2 linked regions of the Macaca mulatta genome follow. The protein of the gene in region 1 purifies or fractionates together with the protein of each later gene. This does not show direct contact. Links are inferred from orthologs where the notes say so. Each region holds a gene or a part of one and is shown on either strand. Other genes may lie near its edges.

The links.
Region 2: the proteins of L3MBTL2 (region 1) and MGA purify together in Homo sapiens (affinity purification with mass spectrometry; 3 studies listed by BioGRID and IntAct, counting the BioPlex papers as one, with this or other methods). This does not show direct contact. The link is inferred for Macaca mulatta from reciprocal best matches to the Homo sapiens genes L3MBTL2 and MGA.

The regions. Positions count from the first base shown.
Region 1 is NC_133415.1:10,298,004-10,301,603, reverse strand, and holds part of L3MBTL2 (lethal(3)malignant brain tumor-like protein 2), read left to right. Parts: intron 1-1,870; exon of another isoform or gene 1,871-2,434; coding exon 2,435-2,568; intron 2,569-3,600. UniProt on the Homo sapiens protein: Putative Polycomb group (PcG) protein. PcG proteins maintain the transcriptionally repressive state of genes, probably via a modification of chromatin, rendering it heritably changed in its expressibility.
Region 2 is NC_133412.1:18,988,939-18,993,188, reverse strand, and holds the start of MGA (MAX gene-associated protein), read right to left. Parts: upstream 2,877-4,250; 5' UTR 2,802-2,876; exon of another isoform or gene 2,511-2,801; intron 1-2,510. UniProt on the Homo sapiens protein: Functions as a dual-specificity transcription factor, regulating the expression of both MAX-network and T-box family target genes. Functions as a repressor or an activator.

The DNA.
Region 1 (3,600 bases):
CCAAGTAGCTGGGACTACAGGCGCCCGCCACCAGGCCCGGCTAATTTTTTGTGTTTTTAGTAGAGATGGGGTTTCACCATGTTAGCCAGGATGGTCTCAATCTAACCTTGTGATTCGCCCACCTCGGCCTCCCAAAGTGCTGGGATTACAGGCGTGAGCCACTGCGCTCAGCCTTATTTCCTTTCTATTCATATTGTCTTCTTTTCATCCCTTGCCTGTTTTATCTTTCTCTCTTCTATCCTCTTCCAACCCTTCTTTTAGAATCTTAGGATTTAGAACTAGAAGGAACCATTAGAGACCACTTAGACCCGGGATTCTGCACATTAGAATCATCTAGGGGAGCTTTTAACAAACTATAGGTGCCAATCTCCCATCACAGACCATTAGAATTTTAGGTTCAGGCTTTTTTTTTTTTTCTTTTTTTTTTTTTATTTTTGAGACGGAGTTTCGCTCTTGTTGCCCAGGCTGGAGTGCAATGGCGCCATCTCAGCTCACTGCAACCTCCACCTCCTGGGTTGAAGGGATTCTCCTGCCCCATTCACCCGAGTAGCTGGGATTATAGGCGCCCAGCACCACGCCTGGCTAAGTTTTTGTATGTTGAGTAGAGATAGGGTTTCGGCCGGGCGCGGTGGCTCAAGCCTGTAATCCTAGCACTTTGGGAGGCCGAGACGGGCGGATCACGAGGTCAGGAGATCGAGACCATCCTGGCTAACACGGTGAAACCCCGTCTCTACTAAAAATACAAGAAAATTAGCCGGGCGAGGTGGCAGGCGCCTGTAGTCCCAGCTACTCGGGAGGCTGAGGCAGGAGAATGGCGTGAACCCGGGGGGGCGGAGCTTGCAGTGAGCCGAGATCGCGCCACTGCACTCCAGCCTGGGGCACAGAGCAAGACTCCGTCTCAAAAAAAAAATAAAAATAAAAAAAATAAAAATAAAAAATAAAAAATAGAGATAGGGTTTCACCATATTGGCCAGGCTGGTCTATGAACTCCTGACCTCAGGTAATCCACCTGCCTCGGCCTCCCAAAGTGCTGAGATTACAGGTGTGAGCCACTGTGCCTGCTCAGGCATTTTTAAAAGCTCCCCAGGTGGGTCTAATAGTGAAGTCACGGGCCAGGCGCGGTGACTCACTCCTGTAATCCCAGCACTTTGGGAGGCCAAGGCAGGCGGATCACCTGAGGTCAGGAGTTCAAGACCAGCCTGCTCAACATGGCGAAACCCCTACTAAAGATACAAAAAATTAGCCGGGCGTAGTGGCACACGCCTGTAGTCCCAGCTACTCAGGAGGCTGAGGCAGGAGAATCCCTTGAATCCGGGAATCGGAAGTTGCAATGAGCCGAGATGGCGCCACTGCACTCCTGCCTGGGTGACAAGAGCGAACTCTGTCTCAAAAAAAAAAAAAAAAATGAAGTCACAATTAAAACACTGATCTAGCCGGCCGTAGTGGCTCACGCCTGTAATCCCAACACTTTGGGAGGCCGAGGTGGGCGGACCATGAGGTCAGGAGATTGAGACCATCCTGGCTAACATGGTGAAACCCCATCTCTACTAAAAATACAAAAAAATTAGCCGGGCTTGGTGGCGGCACCTGTAGTCGCAGCTACTAGGGAGGCTGAGGCAGGAGAATGGCGTGAACCTGGGAGGCAGAGCTTGCAGTGAGCCGAGATTGGGCCACTGCACTCCAGCCTGGGCGACAGAGTGAGACTCCATCTCAAAAAAAAAAAAAAAAAAAAAACACAGATCTAGTTCAGTCCCTTTACTATATAGATGAGAAAGTAGAGCCATAGAGGTTAAGTGACTCTGGCACTTTTTCTTCCTATAAATTTTTTCTCTCCTTTTTTTTTGAGACAGTGTCTTATTTTGTTGCCCAGGCTAGAGGTACAGTGGTGCAAACATGGCTCACTGAAGCGTCAACCTCCTGGGCTCAAGCAGTCCCCCCCTCCACTTTAACCTCCCAAGAAGTTGGGACGACAGGCGTGTGCCATCACACCAGGCGTTTTTTTTGTTTGTGTTTTTTTGCAACAAGGTCTTGCTGGGTTGCCCAGGATGGTCTCGAATTCCTGCCCTCAAGCAATCCTCCCTCCTTGGCCTCCCAAACTGCTGGGATTACAGACAGGAGCTACCATGCCTGGCCTCTTCTCACTTTCCTCTCACAAACTTTTCAACACTCACCTATTCCCCCAGTTGTCCTCATGGATTTCCATTAGCTCCTCTGTTGACATATGGAGCCAAGGGAGGCCAAGCAGCAGCACTTTGTTCAGGTAGATTCAGGATATACATGCCAGTACCTCCCATTCCTTCTCTTACTCCATTAGCCTTGGTCGGGGCAGGGGCTCACCTGGTTAATGCAGTGCCCCAGGTTTTGAAGGGCCCATCATTTTGTTGGCTTTGAGGTGGCCGTATCGGGTGAGTCATGTGCTAAGTTCTCTTCCCAGCTGTCTGTGAGATGTGTGGTATCGTGGGTACAAGGGAAGCCTTCTTCTCCAAGACCAAGAGGTTCTGCAGCGTCTCCTGCTCCAGGAGCTACTCCTCCAACTCCAAGAAAGCCAGTATCTTGGCTAGATTACAGGTGAGAGGCAGTCACCTGGGTCCTTCCCGGGGCCTTTGGTGCTGAGATAGGAGCCACTAATTGACTGAAGGCAAGGGCCAGGAAAGTTTGAAAAGCCCCTTGCTGGTGGCCAGCTGGTATTTATTATGTTCTCAAACTTCAGTGGACAGAAGAATCCATTTATGGAGCTTTTTAAATTATAGGTTCCTGAAGCTACCGTCCATTCCCTACCCTCATCCCCCAGAGTCTGGTGTGTTCGGTACATTTTATTTTATTTTATTTTATTTTATTTTATTTTATTTTATTTTATTTTTGAGACGGAGTCTTGCTCTGTCGCCCAGGCTGGAGTGCAGTGGCCGGATCTCAGCTCACTGCAAGCTCCGCCTCCCGGGTTTACACCATTCTCCTGCCTCAGCCTCCCGAGTAGCTGGGACTACAGGCGCCCGCCACCTCGCCCAGCTAGTTTTTTGTATTTTTAGTAGAGACAGGGTTTCACCATGTTAGCCAGGATGGTCTCGATCTCCTGACCTTGTGATCCGCCCGTCTCGGCCTCCCAAAGTGCTGGGATTACAGGCTTGAGCCACCGCGCCCGGCCTCTTGGTACATTTTAAACAAGAACTCTGGGGAAGGCTGACGCCCTTGGTCTTCACCCCACACTTTTATACATCCTTTGAAAGGAAGCTGGGAAACAGGCCCAAGGTTCACCAGCCATGGTGGCTTCAGGAAGTCCGTGCCTTGTCTGACTCCATGTCACAGGCAGCTACCTAGAAAGTCTTGCCAATTTTCTAAATTACTGACATTTATAGAATTTTTAGAGATGGAAAGGTTCTTGGATGTGGTGTTGAACCCACACATTTATTAAGTATACTGAAGTCCAAGGAGGTAGAATAACATACCTAGTGTGGCTCTGTACGAAGAGAATGGCAGAATTGAGGCTGGAACCTAAGCTCAGGGGCTTGATCTTACATTGTTTCCCAGTAGCTGTGACCAGCATCCACAACACTGCTTCCCAAATTTGCCTGCAAGCTGGGATCACGTGGAAAGTTTAAAAAA
Region 2 (4,250 bases), on another chromosome or scaffold:
GCTCAAACCCAGGAATTCAAGACCAGCCTGGATAACATAGTGAGACCCCATCTCTATGGGGCTGGAGGATCACTTGACGTCAGGAATTCCAGACCAGCATGGCCAACATGGCGAAATCCCATCTCAACTGAAATTACAAAAATTAGCCAGGTGTAGTGACGGACACCTGTAATCCCAGCTACTCAGAAGTCTGAGGCAGAATTGCTTGAACCCAGGAGGCAGAGGTTGCAGTGAGCATCACTGCACTCCAGCCTGGGGACAAGCCCAAAACTCCCTCTCAAAAAAAAAAATATATATATATATATACACACACACACACACATACACACATATATATATAAAATTCACCTAGTTTTTTTTTTTTTTTTTTTGGAGACAGAGTTTCACTCTTGTTGCCCAGGCTGGAGTGCAATGGCGCAATCTCTGGTCACTGCAACCTCCACCTCCCGGGTTCAAGCATCCCAAGTAGCTATGATTACAGGCATGCGCCACCATGCCTGGCTAATTTTGTATTTTTAGTCGAGACGGGGTTTCTCCATGTTGGTCAGGCTGGTCTGGAACTCCCGACCTCAGGTGATCCGCCCGCCTCAGCCTTCCAAAGTGCTGGGATTACAAGCGTGAACCACCACGCCCGGCAATTTTATTTAAATTTTAAGGTAAAAATCCCATTCTTTCTCCAAACAGTTGATTGTTCCAACATAAATTTTGGAACCCCTTCCCTACTGATATGAAATACCACCTTTGTAACACTAAATAATCTTATATATTTCTAGATTATTCTGTTTCACCACTCTTGTGTTCCAGGGTTGCTACTTACATTTTGATTATCAAAGCTTTATTTGTATATTCTCTAGTACAAGTCCTTTTCCCATTCTTCTCTTCCAAAAAGTTTCTTACTTTCTAGGTTTACTTTTTCAAATGAATTTTAAAACCATTTTGTCAAGTTTTCAAAAGGAAATCTGGTTGGAATCATGTAAAACTGCCAGCCATATCTCTCTGTTGCTATTTTCCTCAGTGGTAAAATGGAAATAACAGTACTTACCTCGCAGGTTTGTTATGAGAACTAAATAAATTAAATACAGTACAAAGTATTTAAAACACCAAGCCAGAAAGATGTTAACTATAATTACTCAAAAGTGACAGCTATTATGATTGCTCAATAAATGTTTTCCAGATGTGTTCGCACAATCTTCAAAGGCTCTTTTTAAGATAAATCAAAAGGTATCATAAAACATAAGCAGTGGTGTGGAAAACAATTTATACTTTTCTTCACCAACGCCTTGACCCTTCTTTGGTGAAATAAAGAGCTGGAACTGGGAGCAGAGACCAAGAAAAATGCCACAGGCTACCAGGTCTCTAAAATTTTACAAAGCTAGCCCATCAAGTGGAAACGAAGACTTCTAGGCCCTTCTAGTCAGCGTTATGGGTGATCAGCATTTCCCTTTAAATACTACTATTTCCCCATCTCCACAGTTATGACAATAGTAGTTACCTTTTGATTTCCTCCCAGAAAATACATAGGGATTAGATGTCTAAAAGACAGTATTTTTCAAATGAGGTCGTGGGCCCCTATAAAGTATAAATGGGAATGATAAAGATGGAGAGACATGCCCAGAATATTATAACAAATTACCTCTACCAGGTTTCCCACATCACTGTAAAGATTGAGAGGGGAGAGGCTGTGGGTTTTTTTTTTTTGGGGGGGGGGCGGTTGTCTCATTATAATTGTTAAGAATTTGTTAAATTTTTTTTTTTCTGCATTGAAATTGAAGTGAGGAAGTCAGAGGCCGTATGAGGGGCCTTAAGAGGTGATCTCCTCTACTGAGCTGAATGAGAAATGGAAGACGAGAGTGGAAAGATGAAACCAGCCAAAGGCCTGGACCCCAGGCCTCCGAATTCCCAGATCTCGGCTCATCCCAGTACACCACACAGCTTCTCACCGACGCTTGCCACGCTTCGAGGTGGGAGGAGTAAAAACAGGCAATCCGACCGCAGCAAAGACGCTGGAAAACCACAGGCCGGCGCAGTCGAAGGCACGTGACCCGCCACGCCCCCCCCACCCTCCCCCTGCCCCGCGCCAGCAGCACGCGCTGCCAACCTCGTCATGTGACCTTCACGCGGCCCCAGCGCTCCCCCTGCTTGGCGACTCTTTCCAGCAGCCATTTTGCTGAGAACTTGTCGTCTGTGCTTGCCGCGGAGCAGGACGCCGCGAAAAGCCGCGGCCAGAATTTACGGGCCGCACACGCGCTTCGAAAGAGCGCTCAGGCCGTCAGGGCCCGGTCGAACCTCAATGAACACGTCGCACCCCGGGGCGCCGGGGAAAGCTGTGGGTGCGCCTCGGCCTGAGATTGGCTGTGGCGTCCACGTGACGCCTCAGCCCCCTCCCCGCCACCTTCTCCTTCCCCCCAACTCACAAAAACACCCAGACTGTTAACACCTCGCGCCAAGAACACGCCACCAGGCGCGTGGGGACGGGCGTAGCGCGTGGCAAGCAAAGCGCCTGCGCGTACCTGCCAGGGCCGACAGCAACCGACCCACGCGCCGTTCCGCTCGCGGGTCCCGGAATCCTCGCGCTGCTGGACCACCCGGCTAGTCATTGGCTGCCAGTTCGGGTCACGTGCTGGTCGCCGGCCCGCCCCTACCCGCTAATCACCTGGCACCGAGCTCGAAGCGGCGCCGAGTCGTTCGCACGCGGAGAGGGAGGGTAGTTAGAGGGCCATCCTTTTCTGCCATTATGGAATTAAACTCATAAAGAGGAAACGAGAAACCAGAGGTTCAAAGCTAAGGAAGCTCGCACCTACCGGCTTAACTTCGCGCGCCTCTCCAGGAGCCGGGAACCATCGCCCTTGGGCGCTCCCCGATGCACGCCGGGATACGCCTGGCGCCCCTCGGTGTGCTGCAGAGCATGCCGGGAAAGGCACCTCTCCCGATCTCCTGGCGCTCACCTCCCGGGCGTTCCTTTCGTGTCCCCTTTGAAAGCCCGATCCTTGGGCTTGGAATGAGACGGTTTGGGTAATTATGGGAGTGTGGCGAGGTATACCAGGCACTTTGAGCCCCTCCTCCCCGACTTGTTTGATCTGTGTGGTCTTGGGGAAACCGTTTAACCTTTCTCCACGGAGCAAGCGTTAAGTGTGTGCCTGCTGAGTGACTTTGTAAAGATTCAAAAAAAAAAAAAAAAACAGCAAGGGTATTTGCCTACAAATGAACTGCCAGCCTTTCCTGGCCAATGAAAAAGAATGCTAATTTAAATGCAACTTACCAGGAGCCCCACATGAGAGTGGAAATGGCACTTGGAATTTCCCTTGGGATAGAAGATGAGCCCTTTCTTGCTAAACTCACTGCTACTGTTGGGGAAAGCAGGGTGATAAGAGCATGCGGCGTTTTAAAGGAGGCAGGGACATGCCTGTATCACAGTTACTGGTTCCACCTCATACGAGATACGGTATATTGGAAACGAGAAAAAAAAAAACACCGTCTCCTAACTCAGAAAAAGTGGTCAGGCATCAGAACCAATTAACTTTGTAACATATTCACAAACTGCCCTTCAGGCCAAAACCTAATATTTTACTCCCATGAAACCCCCACTTAAAACAATTCACACCTTTTCTGCTTTGAACTCCATTCTTCAGCTTTGCCGATTTCAGAACGATTTCATCAATTCTTAAAGAGATGATTAAGCTTGAAGAATTTGACTAGCGATGGTCAAGCTCAAGAGTTCTTATTTATAGATTAAAAATTAAATGTATCCATTTATAATGTGGTTATTAAGCCAAAATATAGTTTGTGGCACCCTTTTCTAATTTCAAGGTACTTCATAAGCCTAATTATCAGAAAATTATTCCCTGACTAGAAAATCAAAAGAAAGGGTATTAGATGATCATGTGTAATAAAGAGCATTAAATTGTAAGCATATGATGTTATATTTGAAGTTTATAAAACATTCTAATATTCATTATGTATAATCCTTATAACAACTCAGAGAAAAGTGCCATACTAGTATTACCATTTTCTGAGTCAGTCTTGAGTGGGAATCTGGAAAAACATATTTTAACATGTTCTCCAGGCAATTGTTATGCACAACTGGGTTTGGGACATATTGGCTGTAGTGGAAAGAACCCAAGGTTTGAAGTCAGACAGATCCATGTCAACTTGCAGCTCTTATACTTCCTGCACTCTGATTGTGGTGACAGGTTTTTAAACTTTTTTTTTTTTTGAGACCGAGTCTCAGTCTGTTACCCAGGCTAGAATAC